Linked DNA regions of Cricetulus griseus. Each later gene encodes a partner of the first gene's protein in a complex. Links are inferred from orthologs where the notes say so. Each region holds a gene or a part of one and is shown in the gene's direction. Other genes may lie near its edges.

Region 1 (2,900 bases):
ATGCATGACTGGTGCCTGTTTCATGGGTCCCAGGGGAGGCTGTGTAGCTGGGGACATGGCTGGGGTGGCTGAGCATCTGCCTAGTGTGCACAGGGCCCAGTACTACAAAACAAATGCAACAGAGTCCACTGAGAGCCACAGGATCCTTGCTGGCAGGGACCCTGTCCACCCAGTCCTTGTCCCCGAAGTGCTCTGCCTCAGTGATACTCGTAGATGCTGGTGGAAAAAAGGGGGTGGGGGAGAGACAGAGACAGAGAGAGAGACAGACAGAGACAGAGACAGAGAGAGACACAGAGAGGGGGAGGCTGGTGAACTGCAGCAAGAGGGGCCAGAGACAGAAGTGGGAGAGGACCCTGGGGTCACCCAAGACAGAGCTTGCTGCTTTGGGCCTCTGTGAAGCTGCCTCACCGGAGGCAGCTCTCCTTCCCCGAGGCCACACTGGGTCCTGGTACAGTGGCATCACATCCTCGGGGGCCAACTCTCACTATGATAAAACACTTGAGAAAGGGAAGAAAGTTTTGTATGAGCTCAGAGTCCTGGAGTCCTCAGAGTCCTCAGAGTCCAATCCATGGTCACTTGACCCCTCTGCCTTGAGCCTGAGGTGGGAATGTCTCAGAGAGGGCAGCAGAAATGTTCACTCTGAATAAACAAGGAGGGAGGAGAAAAGGGTTGAACAGAGGGGAGGAGGGAGTGGATGAGAGAGACACAGATCAAAGAGAAGATACCTTTCAAGGGTCCACCCCCCAGTGAACTACTTCCTCCCGGAAGGCTTCCTCCTCCCTGTTCAGCACTGAATCCATCAACTGGTTAACCCACTGACAAGACTGGCGCTTTCATGATTCAGTTGCCACTCAACAGCGCCACCTAGCTGGGGGGACCAGGCCTCCAGCCATGTGTCTGTGAGGGGGCTTTCATACTTAATCCCAGAAACTCTCCCTGGTATTTGGAGTATTTGGAATTGTCTGGAGAACCAGAAGCTTTAAAGGGAATCTCCTAAAGGTGCAGAGAAGCTAGACTTCAAAGCTACGGTCAGCGGCTGGGGGACCACCTCAGTTAGTAGGATGCTTGCTATGCAAACACTAGGACCTGAGTTTGCATCCCCAGCACCCATGTAAGAAGCTGAAAACTGCAGTGTGCAGTTGTAATCACAGTGTCGGGAGGCAGATCCTGGGAGTTTGCCAGCCCAGTGATACCTGCAAGCTCTAGGTTCAGTGAAAGATTCTGCCTCAAAAAGTAAGGTGGAAAGATTGAGGAGGAAGCCTAACGTTGTATACACACACACACACACACACACACACACACACACACACACACAGGAGGAAGCCTAACGTTGTATACACACACACACACACACACACACACACACACACACACACACACACACCTAGGCTTGCACATCTCTCAGCCCTTGTTCCTCCCTTCATTCCTGAGATCTGTTCAGTTGGGTCCTTCCTGGAGTGAGCCCAGGTGCAGACAGACAGGCTCTATCTGCATACTACCTGTCTGGGGCGCATGGAGAGCACGGAGGCCATCCTTGTGCCCTCCAGCCCTGCCTCTCTTCTAGGAAGAATACGAAGATCTGGAGAGCATCCACAAGGAAGAGAAGCTGCAGCTGGAGGAGCTAAAGGAGAGGCATGCGGTGCTGGTGGAGGAGTTTTCCCAGATCCGTGCTGAGAGCGAGATCAACTCCAAGAAGCGGGTGGAGGCGGAGCGCGAGATGGTGCGCATGGTGCGGGCGGCCACGCTCATCCAGGCGGTGTGGAAGGGCTACCTGGTGCGCTCCATGCTCAGATCCAAGAAGAAGAAGCGGGGCAAAGGCAAGGGGAAGGGCAAAGAGGAGAAGGGTAAGGAGAAGAAAGGCAAGGGCAAGGGCAAAGGCAAGAAGAAGTAACTGCTGCCTGGCCCTGCTCCTGCCCAGCCTCAACCACGCCCTGCCCAGTCTGAATGGTACTCCCACCCTGCCCCAGCCCTTCCATCCTGACTTTAATGATGGCCAAAATTAAAACAAAACAAAACATTTAAACCATACTCAAGGGCTCACCCTTCAACAGACGTGTCTACCCCAGGATGAGGCTGTGTTGCTCATGGGCGCAGCATCCTGAGGAGGGTACAAGCTTTGGGACCCCCATCCTCCCACATCTTCATTGAGAAATGAGGCCCTGGTCCCAACCCAAGAGATACTGTGGTTACCATGGAGAGACATCATCACTGGGCAGCCCTGGCCTGCCCTGGGACTGCCCACCCACCCACAGCTCTGCCCCTTTGCTATGAACCTTCTGGAGGGCAGCAGCGTTTTTGGTTTGGTGTTTAGATTGCATGATTTTTTGAAAAGTATTAGTTGCTAGAATCTCATAAATTAAGAACCATCCATAGAATCCTAAAGCCCTTATTGTGAAGATCCCATCACCCTGATATCCCAGTATCCCGGCCCTGTGTCTTCTTCCATGGTGCAGCAGCATCCCACCCTGCAACTTTATTTTGAGACATAGTATTCCTCTGTAGCCCCAGCTGGTGATCCACCTGCCTCTTGATTTCTAAATGCTGAATTTACAGGCATGGGCCACCTCTTTGGCTTCCTCCACTTCAAAACAAAACAACAAAACTAAAGAAACAAAGGATGGTCAAGGGGGATGGTGGGGGCGGTGGTGGTGCACGCTATGTGGGAGGCTGAGGCAGGTGATCTCTGAGTTCAGGCCAGCCTGGTCTACAGAGTGAGTGCCAGGACAGCCAGAGCTACATGGGGAAACCCTGTCTCAAAAACAACAAAACAACAAAAGGGTTATTTTATTTATGTGGGTGTACCCATGGAGTCCATAGCTGGCTGCAAAATTCATTGGAACTAGAGTTACAGATGTTTGTGAGCCACTTGAAGAGGGTGATATCTGAACTTAGGACCTCTG
Region 2 (4,128 bases), on another chromosome or scaffold:
TAAGACTAGTGTCCACCTCTATCAGATGACGAATATTAAAGTCGCCCTTGTCTCTCTCCTTAGGATGTTCTGGAATCGAAGAATACCACCATCAAGGACTTACAGTATGAGCTGGCCCGGGTCTGCAAGGTATGTATGGCTCATCCCCATCCCCAGAGCCCCACCTTCTCCCTCAGGGCTGTCTCCTCCATAGAACTGTGCTCCTGTACCCAGCTTCAGCTTGTGAACATTCTAGATGAAGGAAGGGTCCCTGAGGCCCTCTCTCATTTCTTCTGCATGTTTCATTCAGAAGGTAGGTATGGTAATCCCCTTGTGATATGTCTTCATAGCCTTAGGGCTTGAGAGTGACCTAGTCCTGGCTTTGCTTATAGGTCTGCCTGGCACACACTTAGGACTCTGTCTCCTACCATGTTCAAATTTGTCTCTCCCTCACCCTTCTTTGCTCAGCTGGCCCCTCAGGCAGGCAGTTGGAAGTGTCTCTCTGCTCTTCCACATGAATGCTCACTGCAGTAAGTCACTCTCACCCTTTCGTTACCTTTGTGAATCTAAGGTAGCTCCATACCCTTACACACTAACATGTGTACCCACTGGACCCTGGCTGCCATCTGTCCCATGCACCTGAGAGAAGCCTGGGTTCTATATCTAGGTGGTCCTTAAGTGGACTGTTCTGCCTGTGTTTGCCCACTCTCTGGTCAAGGATTTACCAAGAACAGCCACCCCACAAGTCACATCCTTACTCTGTGGAGCAGGCATTGCATCTCTGTTTGTTGTTTAGGGCTTTATTGGGACATTTATGTTATATTGTTTTATTTTTTAAAAATATTTGTTTTGCTGGACAGTGATGGTGCACACCTTTTCCCCACCACTCTGGAGGCAGAGGCAAGCAGATCTCTGAGTTCCAGGACAACCAGGGTTACACAGAGAAACCCTGTCTCAAAAAATAAAAACAAACAAACAATTAACCCTAGACATAGGTAGGCAGTATCTGTTACTGCTTCCTAGACTCCATGCTGCTCAAGCTGCCCTGGCTTCCCAGCCGTCGCTAGAGGTCAGGCTAGAGCTTTACTTATCACACCTGTCCCTCAACTGACATGGCAGAGCAAAATTAGGGATAACTGCTGTGTGTGTAGCTCTTGGGGGCTGGGGATATCTTTGGCTTTTGTCTGATCAAGGTGTCTGAACCTGGGATGTCTGGTAACCAGAGCTCAGCCTCTGAGTTCTCTCTGGAACCCATCCTTATTTACCCTTTTCTCTCTATTTCAAGGAATAGTTCTGTTCACTAAACCACAGTGGGGATAATGAACCTTTTTGTTTTTGAGACACAGTCCTACTATATAACCCTGGCTGGCTTGGAACTCACTGTGTGGACCAGGACCTGTGTGCTTCTGCCTGAGTGCAGGGATTGCAGATGTGCACTAAATCCTAGCTAGTGACCTTTTCAGGCATTTGCTGTGAGTCTCACAGGCTCCAAGCATTCTCATTTCATTGAATTCATCAACACCTATAATCCTAGCACTTAGGGGTACTGAGGCAGGAGGGACATGAATTCAAAGGCAGCATAGGCTGCAAAGTAACACCCTGTCTCAGACAAATTAGTAAAACAAATTCAAGTCTTTAAAACTGTTTAGTGAAATTTTCCCAATTAAAAAATGTGCATTTTAGCTGGGCCATGGTGTTATACCCCTTTAATCCCAGTAGTTGGGAGACAGAGACAGGTGCAGATCTCTGCGTAAGTTCCAGACAGCCAGGGCTACACAGAGAACCACTGTCTTGAAAAACAAACAATCCAGCAAAAAGTGCATTTTGGGGGTTGGAAAAGATGGCTCATTGGTTAAGAACACTGGAGTGTAGTTCCCAGCATCCACATGGATGGCTCACAGCTGCCTGTAACTTCTGCTCCAAGGCATCTGAGTTTCTCTTCTGGCCTCTTTGGGCATCTGCACAATATGTACCTTCCCATACATACACCCACATACATATATGTAATAATAATAAAAAGTACTAGACATGCTTTTTTTGAGAGCTGGGTGTGGTGGCACACCCTTTAATGTTGCCACTCAGGAGGCAGAGACAGGTGGATCTTGGTAAATTATAGGCCAGCCAGGTCCATATATCAAGTTCCAGGACATCAATGGCTATATAGGGAGACCCTGAGTAAAGAGGAAAAAAATTTGCAAGGTGTATTGGTGTATGCATGTAATATTAGTACTCACATGGCTGAAACAGCAGGGTTTTTTTTTTAATTAAAAAATTTCATACAATATATTTTGATCATGTTTCTTCCTTTTCCCCCAACACCCCCTTCCCACTCAACTTTATGCTCTTTCTCTTTCAAAAACAAAAACAATAAAACCCATAAAAATGGAAAAACCTAAGACAGACAAATGCCAAAACAAAACAAATATGACAAAAAGTACACACACACACACACACACACACACACACACACACACACACACTCACAAAAAATGGAGTTTGTTTTGTGTTGGTCAACTACTCCTGGTCAAGGGACGTCCTAGAATATGGTTGTCTTGTCCAGTGGCACTGCATGGAGAAAACTAACTTTCCTTTGAAGCAGTGAGATTTTGAGTGCTAGGCTGTTCTGGGAGAAATAACAAATTCTAGCCAACCTGGACTATATAGTGGGGCCTTTTCCAAGACAAAAATGAAAACAAAACTCCAAAAAACAACAGAAGATTAGCAGAAAAACCCCACCCCACAAGGAAGGCGGGTGGGGTGGGGGGTGGTGGTGGTGGTGGTGGGGTGGGGGGTGTTGGTGTTGTTGACTCCAACAGCACTATTTCTGAGGTCCAATGCCCTCCAATTGTATCCTCTGCAGAGAGAGACACTGGGGTGAATCTCCAGAGGTAGGGAGTAGATGCCATTCTACTTTGACAGGGAAGGGATAGAGACCTTTACTGGGAAGTACTTGCTAAAGAGCCAGGAGTCCACCCAAGTCTCAGTTCTTCTGAGTTGGTCCTTATTGTGAGTGATTTGAGTTCATGACATAAAGGCATCAGCACTGCTGTAGCACAGAACAAACCATTGACCAATGCTTGGCCCAGATCTCCTACCCCTCCCCTCCATGGGATGGAGCCTACCTCTGAGTGGGCCATAGCATGTTGACTATGGTTCCCAGGCTGGAGTGAATTCCTTTTCTCCCTGACATTGCTCTGTCCTTTCAGGCCCACAATGACCTGTTGCGTACATATGAGGCGAAGTTATTGGCCTTCGGGATCCCCCTGGACAATGTGGGATTCAAGCCCCTGGAGACAGCAGTGATTGGACAGACACTGGGACAGGGCCCTGCAGGACTTGTGGGTGCCCCTACATAGCCACCTTCTGGGGCTTTTGCCTTTAGACTGCGTGCCTCACTTTGCAAGTGATACCCGTTCTACTCCAAGAACATCAGGTTTTTGTTTTGTACACTTCATCAGCAATGAACGTTGTCCACACTTCCTTTGCATTCTGTCTTTGTTGGGAAGAAGTACCTGCAAGGCTTCTGCTAAGGTCTCTTTGTCTACTTGATTCCATGTACTGCCCAGTTTGTGTCACACTTGCCCCTTTGAGTCCTGCCTCCAACCTCTGCAGTCCTTTCTCTGAGTGTACCTCTGAGTACTAACCTTCCAGCAAGATGGTACCTCATTGTCCTTTGTTTAGCATGAAGCCCATGTTCTTGATTTGGCTGGGCAGAGCAAGAGAAGACTGGCAGGCTTCCTCCTTTGGGCCAGGCTCTGTACAACCTCCCCTGGTAGGTGGTATAGAACCATGGGTTCAATAGCAGAGACTTGTGAAATTTATAAGACTCTGTCCTAGTTTTGTTTTCTGTTGCTGTGATAAACACTGTGACCAAAAGCAACTTGGAGGAAGAAATGGTTTATTTCAGCTTAGAACTTTCAGGTCACACTATCACTGAGGAAGGCAGGGAAGAAACCTGGAGGCAAGAACCCAAGCAGAGACCATGGGGGCATGCTGCTTACTGGCTTCCTCTCCATGGCTTTTCTTATACAACTCAGGGAGCACTTTGCCCAGAGGTGGCACTGCCCACAGTGGGCTGGGCCCTCCAACGTCAATCATTAATCAAGAAAATGGTTCAACAACTTGACAACAAGCCACCTCATGGTGGCA
Region 3 (4,835 bases), on another chromosome or scaffold:
ACACAGACACATATACACTCTTTCTCACATATAGACACAGACATACAAGACAATTTCCAGACAGAATGTCCCATTGTATAACACAACTTTATTCGCTAGAAACTTATGTGGTAGAAACAAATAAATAAAAGCACTATAAACCATTCCAAGAGCTTGTGGAACTATGGAACCACTGAGGAAGAGGTGGAGAAAGACTTAGGGAGCAGGCAACATTTAGGATCCTCTGCAATCAGGAATGGCCGGTTCTCTTTCTCCCCACACTTGCTTGGCCTGCTTTGAAGGTTCATTGCACTCTGTTTACAGAAGTTCAGTTAAGAAAAACCAGTAACACAAAATTAAATACAGCCTGGCGGTGTGCATGCCTTTAATCCCAGCACTCAGGAGCAGAGGCAGGCTGATCTCTGTTGAGTTCGAGATCAGCCTGGTCTACAAAAGCTAGTTCCAGGACAGCCTCCAAAGCCACACTGAGAGAAAGCCCGTCTCGAACCTCCCTTCCCCCTCCCCAAATTTAAATACTAATATCTTGCATTTTAAAAGCCTTAACATTTAGTTGTTATTTTTATAATAAATTTTTAAATGAGTACACATGCCCTGAAATATCATTAAGGATTAAAACTAGTTATTCATCTGAGCCACATTGTTAAAGACATTTTAATACTTTTTTTTTTAAAAAGAAAACATCCAAATATATCAAGCTTACCCATAAAATAACAAAACACTACAGCCAAGTTCCTCAGGAACATAGGATTCAAAACTCTCCCTGGAAGGTCACGCCAAACTGCACCATCAACCTATCAATGTGTGTAATACTGAGAACAGACCGGCAATTTATTCGTTGCTATGAGAACACTATTTTGTACCAGACATTGCAGCCTTGACGACGCAGTGTTTTGCGCCTATTTTGCACGTGTTTTCCTACAGCGAGCCCTCTCTCGCGATCCCGGAGAGAGGCCTGCTGGCTTCCTCCGGCAGCGGCCCACGTCCGTTTTCGCTCCAGTTTCCCTGGGCTGCGCAGTGGCTCCGCTTAGAGGGCGACCCAGGGGACGCACCGGGCCTGGCTGGCGGGCGAGCGGGAGGGAGGGCAGCGGGCGAGCGGCCTTACGGTTGTGAATGGGCCGGGGAGAAGCCGCGCTCTGCACGCGAGCTCTGCGCAAAAACAATACAAAACCAAACCGAAGCAGCAGAAACCGCAAATAAGTAAATAAATAAATAAGTAAATAAACAAATAAGCACACAAACGAGGCAGCCCCGTCCCCCGAGGGGGAGCGCGCAGCGCTTGAACTCTCAGGACGGTCACAAACAGGCCAAGGCGGGCTCCGGAACTTTATTAATAAACGACTCCCCTAGGCCGCAAGACCCCGGGGCTGGGCTGGGGGAGCGGAGCGGGCCCCGGGCGGAAGCGGGAGGACCCCCGCGCGCCGAGGGGCTCCCTCCCGCAGGCCGGGCTCGCGCGCCCCGCAGGGCTTGTGATGGGCATCTCCCAGGCGACGGGCTCCGCACCAAGATGGCGGAGGAGAAGGAACGGGAAGGCACAGGTAGGAACGCTGCCGGGGCCTCCATCTTGAGCCCCTCGGCGGCGCGGGGCGGCGCGGCGCGGCGGGCAGACGGGGGCCGAGGAGCGGCGCCAGCCCGCGTCCCCGCCGTCGGCTCCGCCCCGCGGCCCCTCCGCCCCGCCCGCCGCGCCCTCCCATCCCCCGGCTGAGGTCCGCGCGGGCTGCGGCCGTGGCAGCCGCAGGGGACCTTCATAATGGCGTCCTTGTTCCCGGGGCCTCCACGCCCGCCGCGCCCGGGACTGTGGGGACCCGGAGGCCGGCCTCACGGCGGACGCGAGCCGGCGCCGGAACCGGGCGGGAGCCTCTGCGGTCGCGCCGTAGCCACGCCCGGCCCGGCCCCAGGCGCCGGCCGCCTCCATGTTGCCTCCTCCGCCAGGCGGCAGAGCGAGGCCTCGAGGTCACACCGGGCCGTGCTCGCCCGGGTGTCGCCAGAACCTCGCTTAAAGGAAGAGATGCCCAAATAACCGCTTTATAATAAGAACGGAAAGGAAAACCCAGCCGGGGACCCGTCGGGGCCGCCCGGACCCGCCGGGTTCCCCGCGCGTGCTGGGGACCGACCGAGGCGGCTGCAGTGACCCGCGAGGCCTCCGGGGACCCCGAAAAGCGACGATCCGCGTTGAACTGCTAGACCCTTTGAGTTGGCTTCTAACCCAGCAGCGTGACTTAAAATCGGGTCCGTGGTTAGCGTCCAGTGACCCAACAGCAATTACACCACAATTGACCGAAATCACCGCTCCATAAATCAGTAAATAAATACATAAAGCAAGCCCTAAGATAGTAAAGGGCAAATATTCGTGGAGGGAAGGTCACGCTCCATCTTTGTTGCAGTTTTTTTGAGTTTTCACAACGCACCATATCGACCCTCCTCCACTCTCAGTTTGGAACAAAGTAGTTAACTAATATTTACATGAGGTGTTTAGTCCATCGTCATGGTGACCGCAGAAAAGCAGCAGGGAAACTGTGAGACTGCCAGAGATCTGTTTATTGATAACTGGAAATTGAGATTTATACATGATAAAATTAATCTCAGAAGCCGGGATTGTAGTACAGGTTTAACCCTATTAAGGTATTAAGGTTTTGTGTTACTGCTTTAGAAGTGAAAGGAACACTCTTAAGAAAAATGTCCATGTACTTTTTTTTTTTTTTTTTTTTTTTAAGAATATGATAGTTGTTGAGTAGGGGGGTAGGGAGGATCAGGGAGGTGAAAGAATATGACCAAAATAATATATGAAAAAAATTTTCACATAAAAAAGCTTTCCCTTTTATTTAATTAGATTCTTATTTACCCCCCCCCCAAAGAAAATAAAAGGGAAAAAGAACTATTAGGAGATAAATTACATTTTTTAAAAAAGACTTGCTTAGGGGAGCATTGGCATATACTGCCAGTTTTTACAATGCAAGAAAATATATTCTTTTATTTACCTTGTGCCCCTGATTGGTTTGTAGAACTCAGTGATGTGATTAAAGGAGTATGCCCAGTCTGATTTTTAGCCCTAGAGAGAGGGAGGGAGGGAAGGAGGGAGAGAGAGAGAGAGAGAGAGAGAGAGAGAGAGAGAGAGAGAGAGAGAGAGAGAGAGAGAGAGAAAGAGAATGAATTCCTGATTCTTTAGTTAACAAAGCATATTTTTCAGCTTAAAATACATTTAGAGGAAGAAACAGTTCTGTCTGCAACTGTACAAGTTAAGTAGTGGCTGTTGAAAGCTGAATTTCATATATATTAAAGTTCTTGTATATTTAATGCTTGTTTGATGGAAAGTTAGTATTAAACTGGAGAATTTTGAGAAGACCAAACCTGTGATTGTCCAACTGAAGCAAGCTCTATTAAATACTGACCAGGAAGGTGGAGACTAGCCAGGTCTGTATTCAGGATTCCCAGAGAAATGGTGCTGAAATCAGGTCAGTCAGGTGCCTATAAAGGCCAAACCCACAAGGCCACTGTACTTTCCACCTTTGGCCAATGGGGGCAAACATACACCCTGTCCTATTTCCTGCCTAGGTAAATCTCCAGCCTCTCTCTGATCAAACACATCCTGTGCAGATGGGGCAACCAACCTTGTTTATTGAAGTGAAAATATGTGACTTGTTATCTTACAAGGACAACAGCCCCCAGCATTCCAGGAAGTGTTCTGTCCTTGGGCAAGTGGGGCTTGCAGGTTAACTTTAGCCTTAGGTGAAGTCAGAACTTAAGTGACTAAGAAGATGAGGAAGGCATTGGCTTTGCCCTCTCTATGGCCTCATCAGTAAGGGAGATTAGAAACATAACAGCTGGAAAACATGCCAAGAGGAGCAATAGGAAGGAGCCAGGGCCAAGATAAGACACCCCCCCCCCAGGACACACCCCAGCATCCTTTTTCATTCAAGAGACCTTACCTTTTATAGTTCTGTTCAAAGTTTTGAATCTATAAATGGATTAGGTTAGTGCCCTCAAGATCCAGTTGTCCCTGGGAAAGCCCTGAGACACATTGAGAGGTGTGCTGTGTCTCTGTCCAGTAAAGTGGATAATTAAGATGAAGAATTGCTAAAATGGGCGTTGGTGGTGCACACCTTTAGTCCCAGCAGAGACTAAAGGCCTGTAGGAGGCAGAGGCAGTCAGATCTCTGTGAGTTCAAGGCCATCCTGGTCTACAGAATGAGTTCCAGGAAAGCCTCCAAAGCAATACAGAGAAACCCTGTCTGGGGAGGGGGGAGGGAGGGAAAAATTGCTTGGAAAAACCTTTCTATGTGGTTATGTATGTGTTGATGTAGTTATGCTTCTCTGTAGCTTATTTTGTGTTTGGACAGTGTAATTTACTTTTTCCTAATTTTTTTCTCTAGCTAAAAAGCATATGAATTTAGAAATTTAAAACAAAGTCAATTTTAAGTCATTCATCTTTTTTTTGTACTGAAAGAATGTTTGAAATATGATATGAAAAAAATCTCTTTTAAGTTTTATCATTTCTTTGAAGTTTCCTCAGCGTTTTTGTTTGGATTTTTTTCCTTCCGGTTTGTTCTGTTTGTTTAAATGGGTAACACATGCAGTTGTCAATTTATTGGATCTTTTAATCCCATTGTTCATGTCTCCTGGAGAATTTTACACAGTACTGCAGGATCTTCTGTTTGTAATTAGAACTACGTCCAGGAAACCAACTGCTTAGGTGTAGAATTCTAACTTTGGCAGACCAGTGAGCTTTTGAAGGAGTGTGTCAGTTTTTCCAACAAATTCCCTTTCAAATTTATTTTTTTGTCTGTACTAAATTATTTATTTGATATTTTGTACCCTCCAATAACATTACTTGGAAAAATG
Region 4 (4,889 bases), on another chromosome or scaffold:
AGTCTTTCTAAGGGCAAATGTTCATCTTCAGAAACTGTTTTCCTCCTGACAAGAGGGAAAGGCCTTGCACACCCCCCTTTCTTATAGCATTTCCTGGAGGAAACAGAAGGCTGAATATAAATTAGCCTTCTGTTGGTCCTGGTCCCTTCATGTAAGTGTAAAATTTGAAAAGTAAATGCCAGTTGTACAACCCAAGGTTTTTTGTTTGTTTTTTCATTTTATTTCTCGTTTTTCCAGACAGTGTTTCTGTGTGTAGCCTGGCTGTCCTGGAATTCTCTCTGTAGACCAGGCTGGCCTCGAATTCACAGAGATCTGCCTGCCTCTGCCTCCCTCTGGGATTAAAGGTTTGCATAGCCAGTGACCAGCAAGTATGTTTTTCTACCTGCTGATAGATAAAGGTGCCCTATTTTCCCCTTAGGGAAAGGCAATTAGTTCCCACCAATGACTCTCAGTCAAGCTGAGATGAATTATGTGTATAAAATGGTATTGTCAAGTCCTCTTATTTTAGGGACAAACTATTTTGCATATGCTCAGCTACACAAAGGTGAGAATTCTGTCTTTGGAATGCCATTAGAAGATTACATGTAATGGTGTCAGGAAAATGTTTTAATAATTACTTAGAAAAACAAAACAAAAAAGTTTCTCTACCTCTGAGGAAGGCAGGTTTTTAGTTGGCAGACTTTATTTCAAATATTTCCCCAACAGTTTTCACGACCTAAACGATCCCTTTAGCATATGCAGCAAACTGTTGGACCTCTCTTACCACCACAGGACTGAACCTACAAGCCCTGTTTGTCCAAAGGTTGTAACCCGTGTCGGCTGAGCGTCTTTTTCCTGCATACACCCCGAGTTGCAGGATGCTACGGCTGGACCCCAGGACAGGTCCCATAAGTGTTGGCAGAATTGCACCTCAGGGAGCCCTTCTTCACACGGCTACGTGCAAAGTTTCAGCCTGGGCTTGAAGGCCGCAGTAACCCTCTCGCAGTCAGGGGCATCTCTTTGGTGACACAAAGGCCCGGGACAGGTTTTACAGCGACAGGCAATCTACACGGTTTGGAGAAACCCTAGTTCTCGGTTGCGAAGCGATGTTTTCTTGCAGCCCTCGTCTTAAACAAAGGAGTAGGTGGGGGGGGGGCAGGGAGGGCTCAGGACCGTCTACCTCCAGCGCTCCGCCGGCCCGCCCCACGTCCCCTCACCCAGACCCAGTCTCCCTGCGACCACAGGCAGTGGCCGTGACTGCCGAGGGCGCCCCCGGCCCCGCCCGGCCAGCCCAGCCCAGCCCAGCCCAGCGCGGGGGTCCCGAGCCCCGAACCTGTGCACCTGCCGAGCGGCCCAGCGCCTCACCTGCGGACCGCGAGGGGCGCAGTTTGCGCCCGCCTGGCCGCGGGCCCCGAGTCAGCCGGTAGATGCAGTAGCAGGCGCCGGCGCCCAGGACCAGCCCTGCCGCCACCCAGCCCGCGTCCCGCGCGCCGCCCATGCCGCCGCTGCCTCCGAGTCGCACGGAGCGGATTCAGCACCGCACGTAGCGGCAGCAGCACCGCAGACAGGAAGTGCGGCTGAAGCTCCGCCTTCCGGAAGCCGCCCTGCGAGCGTCGGAAGCCCCTCTACCCGCGCGCTGCATCACCAGGAGGGCGGCGGGATGGGCTGGCTGGAGCCGCCGCACTCGTGGCCGCCCGCCCCACCCCGCCCCGCCCCGCCCCGCCCCGCCCCTCTGAGTTCTCCTCTAGCTCGCCCCACCCCCGCGCCGCCCCTTTGTACTCTGCCCGCCCTCCTCACTCCGCCCCGCCCCCTGCCCTCAGGCTCTAGTTTCCATTTCCAGGCTGACCCGGACCGCCCCGCCCAGCTGCATGCCCCTCCCCTTTACATTCTGCCCCGCCCTCTCTCACTCCGCCCCGCCCCCTCCCCTCAGTCTTTAGTTTCAGTCTCCAGGTGGTGGGGACCAACCTGCCAGGCTCCAGGCCACGCCCACTTCATGCTCCGCCCCGCCCCTCCCCTCGGGCTCTATTTCCATCTCCAGGCTGGCGGGGACTGTGCCTGGCTGGTTCCGTGGTTGCCACGCAACGCCCCGACGCGGCTGGCCTTGGAAGCGCAGGTTTCCAGATTGGGCAGACCGCGGTTTCTCTGTCCGGTCTCCGGCCATGGCTTCGTTACGCGGTGCCTCCCCCAAACTGAGGAACTACTTCAGGGACAACTACATCCCTCAGATCTGTGAGGTACCTACTGGAGCCAAGCCGAAGGCGGGCGCAGGGAGGGGCCCCGGGGCAGGTGCGAGGAGACCGGGGTGATTGATGGTGGCGCCAGCCTGGATGGTGTGAGGAAGGAAGAAGTGACATCCTGCAGGGAGAAAGAGCAAGTGTCAACTAGTGAGGGTCAGCCAATGGACAGAGAGAGAGACAGAGACAGAGAGACAGAGACAGAGAGACAGAGAGACAGAGACAGAAAGACAGAGAGAGACAGAAAGACAGAGAGACAGAGAGAGAGAGCAGAGACAGAGCGAGACAGACAGACAGACAGACAGACAGACAGACAAAGTGGGAAATTACCAGTATGGAGCCAAGTAGAAATATTTAATAGGGAAAAGCCTTACTTACAGAGCGACCTAGCCAAATTGCATGGCAGCAGTCTGTAGAGCAAGCCGAAAAGTGAAACCAAAAGCAAAACCCCAACCTGGAACTCTACATCACCCTGACCACGCCCTCAAAGGCGTGGTTAGGCACACCCCTAAGTGGGCAGCTTCCCCTACAATTCCCCTTTTAGTCTAAAAGAGGAGTAAAACTTAACAGTGTTAAGTATCCAAAATTAACAATCATAAAGGTGAAATATAAGAAGATACAACAATCTGCTTATGTCACATCCTAACTATCTATGTTAACTAAACCCTAAAGTCATCTGAAAGAGGTGTCCAAGCCCGAACACCTCCTTCCAATCCCAACCATAAACAATAGGAAACTATCCCTAACTAGGTATATACACTATCTTAAGTGACAACAATGGGGGAAAGGGGACGTAGTATTCTCCAAGTTACTTCCTGCTGAAATGGGATGACGACATCCTTATGGGGTCCTGTAGGAAGAAAATGTTAGTATAGTAAAAGTCTTGAATGGATTGTATCCAGTCCATGCTTGAAATCCTCAACTTGATTGAAGTCAGTACCCAAAGCTTTGGCCGGAGTGTCAGGTGAAATGGAGCAAGTTGGATGCAGTGCAGTTGAGGAGGTGTGGCCCATTTTCTTTCCAGGGTGTCGAGGGATTGCTGTCAGGCAGGTCTTCATTGGCTGTGTGGGACTCAAACATAAACAGCAGAGAAATGTTGCTTGTGTATGTACACATACTAGGAAAGGCAACCATGGGAGAATAACGATTATGAGAGGGTGTACACCTTGAGAAAGAGAGCCAAGAAAAGACAAAGACAGTCCCCAAATTCTTCTATCATTCTGTATTACATCAATTGGCTTCTTGATACTATACAGAAAATCTAAAGTTTAGTTAAACAACGTGCTTGGATTTTAGAGGAGGAAAGCCAAATCCACCTCTAAATCCAGCGTTGGTTTAATTGAATAGGGGCTAGAAAAAGAGAAATCGAGTTCTCTGAGAGATAGCTGTAAAGTTTGCCGTATGGCACGTTCCTTTTGTTTGATGGTTATAGCTACCTTCTCTTCTTAAGCATCTACCCATGCAGTGTCCTTTGCCTTCAGGAGATGAGTTTTCCTGTGAAGATAAAAGCAAAACACTTCCCTTTCCTTTGGGAGGTTTCTATTTAATTTATAAGATATACCTTAGTAGAATACCTGTCATTTCTCCTCATCAAGAGGTTTTTCCTTTTCAACTCGAATCTTGATCAACTTTGATGGTATCCAAAGTTTTTCTTGTCCTGTGGAAACCAATGCAAAACCCCTACCCCACTGTAACACATGTCCTGGTTTCCATACAGAGGTTAATACATCTTTGAAGTATATCGGCTGATTCAGTTCAGCAGTTTTCTCCATAGTCCAGTGTCTTTCTGCAGCTGTTTGTTCTTTCTCATTGGCATTAAGAAAGTTTAGTGTTAATAAAGCATTATGCAACCTATGTTTGGGGGGTTTAGTCTTCCAAGTTTGTTTGTTGAGCATCTCCTTAAGTGTTCTATTAGATCTATCAACAGCTGCTTGTCCCGTAGGATTGTGTGGTATACCAGTAACATGCTTTTTGTTATAATATTTGAAAAACTGTTCCAATTTTGTGGAGACATATGCTAGAGCATTGTCAATTTTTATTTGTGCAGGTATATCCATAATTGCCATCACCTCTAGCAGGTGTGTAATAACAGAATCAGCTTTTTCAGAGTTAAGAGCAGTAGCCCATTGGAACCCTGAGAACGTGTCTATAGTATGATACACATATTTCAAATTTCCAAATTCTGCAAAGTGAAAGACATCCATCTGCCAAACCTCATTTCTCCGAATGCCCTTAGGATTACAACCTGCTGGCAATGGAGTTTGGTTATAAAAGGAACAAGTAGGACAGTTTCTCACTATCTCCTTGGCTTGTTGCCAAGTGATGGAGAAGTCCTTTTTCAAACCTTTGCTATTTACATGATGTTTCTTATGAAATTCTGAGGCTTCTAGCACACTTCCAATTAATAAACGATCAATCTCATCGCCTTGTGCTAGTGGGCCTGGCAGACCCGTATGGGATCTGATATGTGTAACATATATAGGATCACTTCTGTTTCTGATAGTTTCCTGTAATTGTAAAAACAATGAGGTTAATTCTGTATTATCAGGAACTAATTCTGTAGTCTCAATGTGTAACATGACTCTGCATATTGAGAATCAGTAACTATATTAAGAGGTTCTGTAAAATCGATAAGCACCATGAGAATTGCATATAATTCTGCCTTCTGTACAGATG
Region 5 (4,724 bases), about 56 Mb from region 1:
TTTTTTTTTTTTTTACTTCACTTCACCTTGACCTCAAACCACATCCTGATTCTGCACCTGAGAGTCAGTTGACTGAACATATCTGTAAAACAAATGCTCTTCTGAGGCCTGAGGTATTGCTTGTACTCTGTCACTTCTATACTCAATGTGTTGTTCCAAGCACCAACATGAGTGACACAGTGACCCAGTGAAAGAAGTCCCAAACGTGCTCCTCGTACAAAGGAAAGGGCAGGAACTCCCATGTATTCTAGGGCAGGAAGAGGAGATTCTGAAGGAAGAATAAATAAAAACATGGTGGAAAGTGAGAAGAAAGATGTCCTCTATATCTGGGAAGTGTGCACAAGGCTCACCAGCCCCAAGTTCCATGGGTTGTAAGCACCATAGAGGCAAGTCTGACTCCTCTCTTCCCTCTACAAAATGTACAGAGTGATGGCTGGAGACATGGTCCAGCAGTTAAGAGCAAGCACTGCTCATGCAGAGACCCCGACTTTGGTTCCTAGCACCAACCATACTGATGGACTGCCCACAGCAGCCTGTAAGGCCAACTCTAGGTGCTCCAATGCTCTCTTCCAGCCTCTTTGGGTACTGCACTCACATGCACAAACCCACACACATATAGCGAAATGAAAAATTAAAATTAAAAATCTTTTCTAAGATCTCTAAAGTGCCATGGGGTTAAATAAACACTCATTGACCTTCTGCTTCTTCTTCACAGGTGAGAGATCTTCCTCCCACGTCTTATACCTGTTTCTGCAGATTTGCTTCTGATAATATGCAGTTGACCAAAATTCTGGAATAGACAGAAGTGCCCAAAAAGAGTCTGTAGATCCCATAATCCACAGGGAAGAAGGAAGGCTTACTGTTCCATTCTATGTATGATGCCATTGTGATGCCCAGTAATGGCCCGGTTCCAGGATGGAGCCCTCCCAGATGGAGGGGGCAATAGCAAGCTACCCCATCACACTCTCTACCCACAATCAATTTTTTAAATCATATGCAAGATGCTAGAAGGCATCCCCCAAAGAGAATCTCCCCCATATTGTGCAAGAAATACTAAACTGCAAAATTTAGGAGACTCTGGTCAAAGCAAGTCCACTAGAGGGAGCACTAACCAACTCTATGCTGCAGAGAGCTTGGGGGCTTCTAAACACCCTGTCTGCAGAGTAACCTCACAGAGAAATAGGGAGAGTGAGACAATTGTTGAGCGGGAGAGAAAGAAGTCCTAGAAACACACCACTGAGTATATATATATATATTATATATATATATATATAATATATATATATATATATATCCTTATTTTACATAGCAATCTCGGTCCTGTCTTCCCATGCCCACCCACCCCCATCCCATTCCCACTGCCGTCCACTCCCCAGGGAGGGTAAAGCCTTCCCAGGGGGATCATCAAAGTCTGTCACATCATTTGGGGCAAGGCCTAGGCCCTCCCCCATGTATCTAGGCTGAGAGAGTATCCCTCCATAGGGAATGGGCTCCCAAAGTCTGTGCACTAGGATAAATACCGGTTCCACTGCCAGAGGCCCCATAGACTGCCCTGGCCTCCCAACTGACACCTATCTTCAGGGGGCCTGGTTGGGTCCTATGCTGGTTCCCCAGATGTCAGACTGGGGTCCGTGTGTTCCCACTTGCTCAGGTCAGCTGTTTCTGTGAGTTTCCCCAGCATGGTCTTGACCCCTTTGCTCATCCCTCCTCCCTCTCTACAACTGGACTCCAGGAGGGAACTACAAAACTTATACACCAAGAAATCCAAGCTGAGCAAAATTAAGTAGCTCAGTTCGCAACTCTGCCTAATTTGTGGCCTCCTTTCTGGGTCAGCATCCCCAAGTCCACAGCTCTTCTCTGTTCTCATTTCTCTTAAGTGGAAAACTCTCAACTACCTGTGCCAGCACGTGTTTCCTGCACAAGCCACAGATAGCATTTCTGAAGTAGACCTCAAGTTCTAAAGCAAATCATGTCACTGTGTTCATGAGACCTCGGGATATAAAGTACCTGCAATGGCTACTTTCCCTGCCTTTCTTCTCCATCTGTAAAGCACTAGCCTCTCACACTGGATGCTTCTAGATTTCTAGACTGCAAAGTCTCCAGATGATAGGCAGTGCCTGTGTAGACATGAATAATAGCTATTCAGCTCCAAGACCTTTTCTTTGCGGGTAGGAGGGGAATCTACCTACACAGGACCTTTGTGTGAGTCAATTTAGCCCATTCTACCTGCCTATGAACACAGTGTTTCCCGGTTGCCTGGGCAGCAGGCAGTCTCCAGAAACCCAACATCCCAGTTCTTGGTCCTGCCTCTTGGGGAAGTTTTTCAGCCTGGATTGGCTCCCAGGACCCAGGCTCCTTCCTCCCTAGGCTCAATCTGCTTGGGACTCTATCTTTCCCAAGGAGTGTTATTCCCCAGGGAGACAGCACTCAAGCAAGAGAAGGTCCTCCAGGTAGGAAGGGGAAGAATAAGCATGTTGGGGAGACAGAAGGGACCAGGTCCAGAGATTTATCTTCTCTAAAAGGGCTGTCTGCTGCCCATAGAATTGCTCTACCTCCCAGCCTTGCCTGGGGTTCCCAGGAGACCAAGAACCAAAGCTTCTAGAAAGTGTAAGATACACTGGAAGACTAGAATTCTGACTGCCCCAAGACCCCTACCTCTAGGAGTCAGGAGAGCATTTCTGTATGCAGACCTACACAGAAGGTCTTCCCTCCCCCAGGGCAGCAAGGATGCCACCTAAAACCAAAGGAAAGGGGAGAAAAACTGGGGCACAGAAGAAGAAAAAAAAATCAAGTCCTGGTGAGTCACAGGGCGTGTCTGTGACACAAAGGTCCTCGGAGGGAATCCAGCCCTCTGGGCAACAAATGGAGTGGGTTTGTTTTGGTTTTGTCTTTTGTTCTTTTGACACAGGGTCACTATGGGACCCAGGCTGCCCCAGTCTTCATAGTGACAGGATTACAGGCGTTGCTACCACACTTGGCTAGGGTGAAGCTTCCTGGCCCTCCTCTGCAGATCCTTGCGTCCAGATTCCATGGGGCTGAGGAAGTGGAGAATGCCTCCTTCCCAAATTCCCCCTGGAGCCCCATCTAGTTCTTTGCCCTCATCATATTTTTCACCCTTATTTTGAGCACCCACCGTGCACATGGTGGGTGAAGACTCTGCCACTCAGCCGTAAATTTGTCAGATTTGCCATTGGGCCTCCCTCATCCAGCTATCTTCCTCCATCACGAAGGAAGAAGTGCAGGTGCAGAGCAGCACTGGGGTGAGGCCGAGAGAAGGATAACCTGAGACTATTGTCTTGCCAGAACAGATGCAGAGGCTGAGGCCAAGCATAGGATGGTCCTGCTGGAGAAGGAGCTGCTTCAGGACCACTTGGGTAAGAAGTTTGAAGCCTCAGGAGATGGCAGAGATAGAAGTCCTAGTTAGGGTCATCGTTGCTGTGATGAAACACCATGACCAAATCAACTTGGGGAGGAAAGGGTTTATTTGGCTTAAGCTTCCAAATCACTGTTTATTATTGAAGAAAGTCAGGATAGGAATCCGAGTAGGGCAGGATCCTGGAGGCAGGAGCTGATACAGAGGTCATGAAGGGTTGCTGCTTACTGCCTTGCTTCACATGGCTTGCTCAGCCTGCTTCCCTTTTTGTTGTTGTTGTTTTATTTTGTTTTGTTTTTCGGTTTTTCGAGACAGGGTTTCTCTGTGTAGCTTTGGAGCCTATCCTGACACTCGCTCTGGAGACCAGGCTGGCCTCGGACTCACAGAGATCCGCCTGCCTCTGCCTCCCGAGTGCTGGGATTAAGGCGTGCGCCACCAATGCCCAGCTCAGCCTGCTTTCTTATAGAACGCAGGACCACCAGCTCAGTGGTGGCACCATCCACAGTGGGTAGGCCCTCCCCATTAGTCACTAATTAAGAAAATGCCCTAAAATCTTGCCTACAGCCTGATCTTATGGAAGCATTTTCTCAGTTGAGGCTACCTCTTCTCTAATGGCTCTAGCTTATGTCAAGTTGACAATAAACTAGCCACCCAATGTATGGAACATAGGGCATTTCTGGGTTCTTGGGGAACTGGAAAGTTTGAACTGTGTGCAGGGCTAAACCAAGATAGCCATTAATCTATTTGCAAGATTGTGAGGAAGGGCTAGGCAGTGAAGATCAATGAAAGAAGCTATCTCCCACCCCTTCCCCCAGCTGGGAATAGAATCACAACTTCATTCATGATAGGTAAGTAGTCTACCATGGAGCTAACCTGCAACTTGGGGAAGCCATTGTCTTATAGTGGCCAGAACATGGAGGGATTATTGACTTAGGAATGAAAACCCTATGGGTTTTGGGGCAACTAATAAAGAGTATACGAAATTGACACCTGTCACCAAGTTCACAGAGGTGAACTTAGTTCATGGAGGCCATGGTGATTGGTTCTGTAGGACCCACAGCCAGACCTGAGCATGGCTCTTGACACTGTCCACAGCTCTCCAGAGGGATGAGACCCGCAGAGCCAAGGCTTCTGAAGAGAGGCTGAAGCAGAGGTTGCAAGGGCTAGAAGCTGAACTGGAGAAGGCCCAAAGTGAAAGGGATGCTGTCTATGCAGGTATGATTTGATTGGCCAGGTGGGCAGGAGACAAAGGCATGGAAGAGGACAACCATGAAAATTGGGGAATTCAAGGAAGGGAAATGAAGAGGAATCTAACTGCCATACCCTACCCTCTGCTGTCCCTGCATAGGCA

The links.
Region 2: Iqcd (region 1) and Gas8 share a complex: the UniProt entries of both Homo sapiens proteins name them as parts of the nexin-dynein regulatory complex. The link is inferred for Cricetulus griseus from reciprocal best matches to the Homo sapiens genes DRC10 and DRC4.
Region 3: Iqcd (region 1) and Efcab2 share a complex: the UniProt entries of both Homo sapiens proteins name them as parts of the nexin-dynein regulatory complex. The link is inferred for Cricetulus griseus from reciprocal best matches to the Homo sapiens genes DRC10 and DRC8.
Region 4: Iqcd (region 1) and Fbxl13 share a complex: the UniProt entries of both Homo sapiens proteins name them as parts of the nexin-dynein regulatory complex. The link is inferred for Cricetulus griseus from reciprocal best matches to the Homo sapiens genes DRC10 and FBXL13.
Region 5: Iqcd (region 1) and Ccdc153 share a complex: the UniProt entries of both Homo sapiens proteins name them as parts of the nexin-dynein regulatory complex. The link is inferred for Cricetulus griseus from reciprocal best matches to the Homo sapiens genes DRC10 and DRC12.

Annotation. Positions count from the first base shown.
Region 1 is NC_048597.1:100,417,073-100,419,972, forward strand, and holds the end of Iqcd (dynein regulatory complex protein 10), read left to right. Parts: intron 1-1,564; coding exon 1,565-1,891; 3' UTR 1,892-2,028; downstream 2,029-2,900. UniProt on the Homo sapiens protein: Component of the nexin-dynein regulatory complex (N-DRC), a key regulator of ciliary/flagellar motility which maintains the alignment and integrity of the distal axoneme and regulates microtubule sliding in motile axonemes.
Region 2 is NC_048596.1:200,187,218-200,191,345, forward strand, and holds the end of Gas8 (dynein regulatory complex subunit 4), read left to right. Parts: intron 1-63; coding exon 64-129; intron 130-3,185; coding exon 3,186-3,335; 3' UTR 3,336-3,458; downstream 3,459-4,128. UniProt on the Homo sapiens protein: Component of the nexin-dynein regulatory complex (N-DRC), a key regulator of ciliary/flagellar motility which maintains the alignment and integrity of the distal axoneme and regulates microtubule sliding in motile axonemes.
Region 3 is NC_048598.1:15,755,746-15,760,580, reverse strand, and holds the start of Efcab2 (dynein regulatory complex protein 8), read left to right. Parts: upstream 1-1,504; coding exon 1,505-1,535; coding exon of another isoform or gene 1,536-1,912; exon of another isoform or gene 1,913-2,423; intron 2,424-4,835. Other genes in the region: protein SOGA3, read right to left, coding at 1,328-1,912. UniProt on the Homo sapiens protein: Component of the nexin-dynein regulatory complex (N-DRC), a key regulator of ciliary/flagellar motility which maintains the alignment and integrity of the distal axoneme and regulates microtubule sliding in motile axonemes.
Region 4 is NW_023276806.1:172,829,014-172,833,902, forward strand, and holds the start of Fbxl13 (dynein regulatory complex subunit 6), read left to right. Parts: upstream 1-1,910; 5' UTR 1,911-2,138; coding exon 2,139-2,213; intron 2,214-2,221; coding exon of another isoform or gene 2,222-2,333; exon of another isoform or gene 2,334-2,334; intron 2,335-2,591; exon of another isoform or gene 2,592-2,607; intron 2,608-4,889. Other genes in the region: Armc10 (armadillo repeat-containing protein 10), read right to left, coding at 1,345-1,477. UniProt on the Homo sapiens protein: Substrate-recognition component of the SCF (SKP1-CUL1-F-box protein)-type E3 ubiquitin ligase complex.
Region 5 is NC_048597.1:155,926,206-155,930,929, forward strand, and holds the start of Ccdc153 (coiled-coil domain-containing protein 153), read left to right. Parts: upstream 1-1,698; 5' UTR 1,699-2,450; intron 2,451-2,717; 5' UTR 2,718-2,727; coding exon 2,728-2,797; intron 2,798-2,823; exon of another isoform or gene 2,824-2,862; coding exon of another isoform or gene 2,863-2,867; intron 2,868-3,303; coding exon of another isoform or gene 3,304-3,308; coding exon 3,309-3,374; intron 3,375-4,468; coding exon 4,469-4,588; intron 4,589-4,724. UniProt on the Homo sapiens protein: Component of the nexin-dynein regulatory complex (N-DRC), a key regulator of ciliary/flagellar motility which maintains the alignment and integrity of the distal axoneme and regulates microtubule sliding in motile axonemes.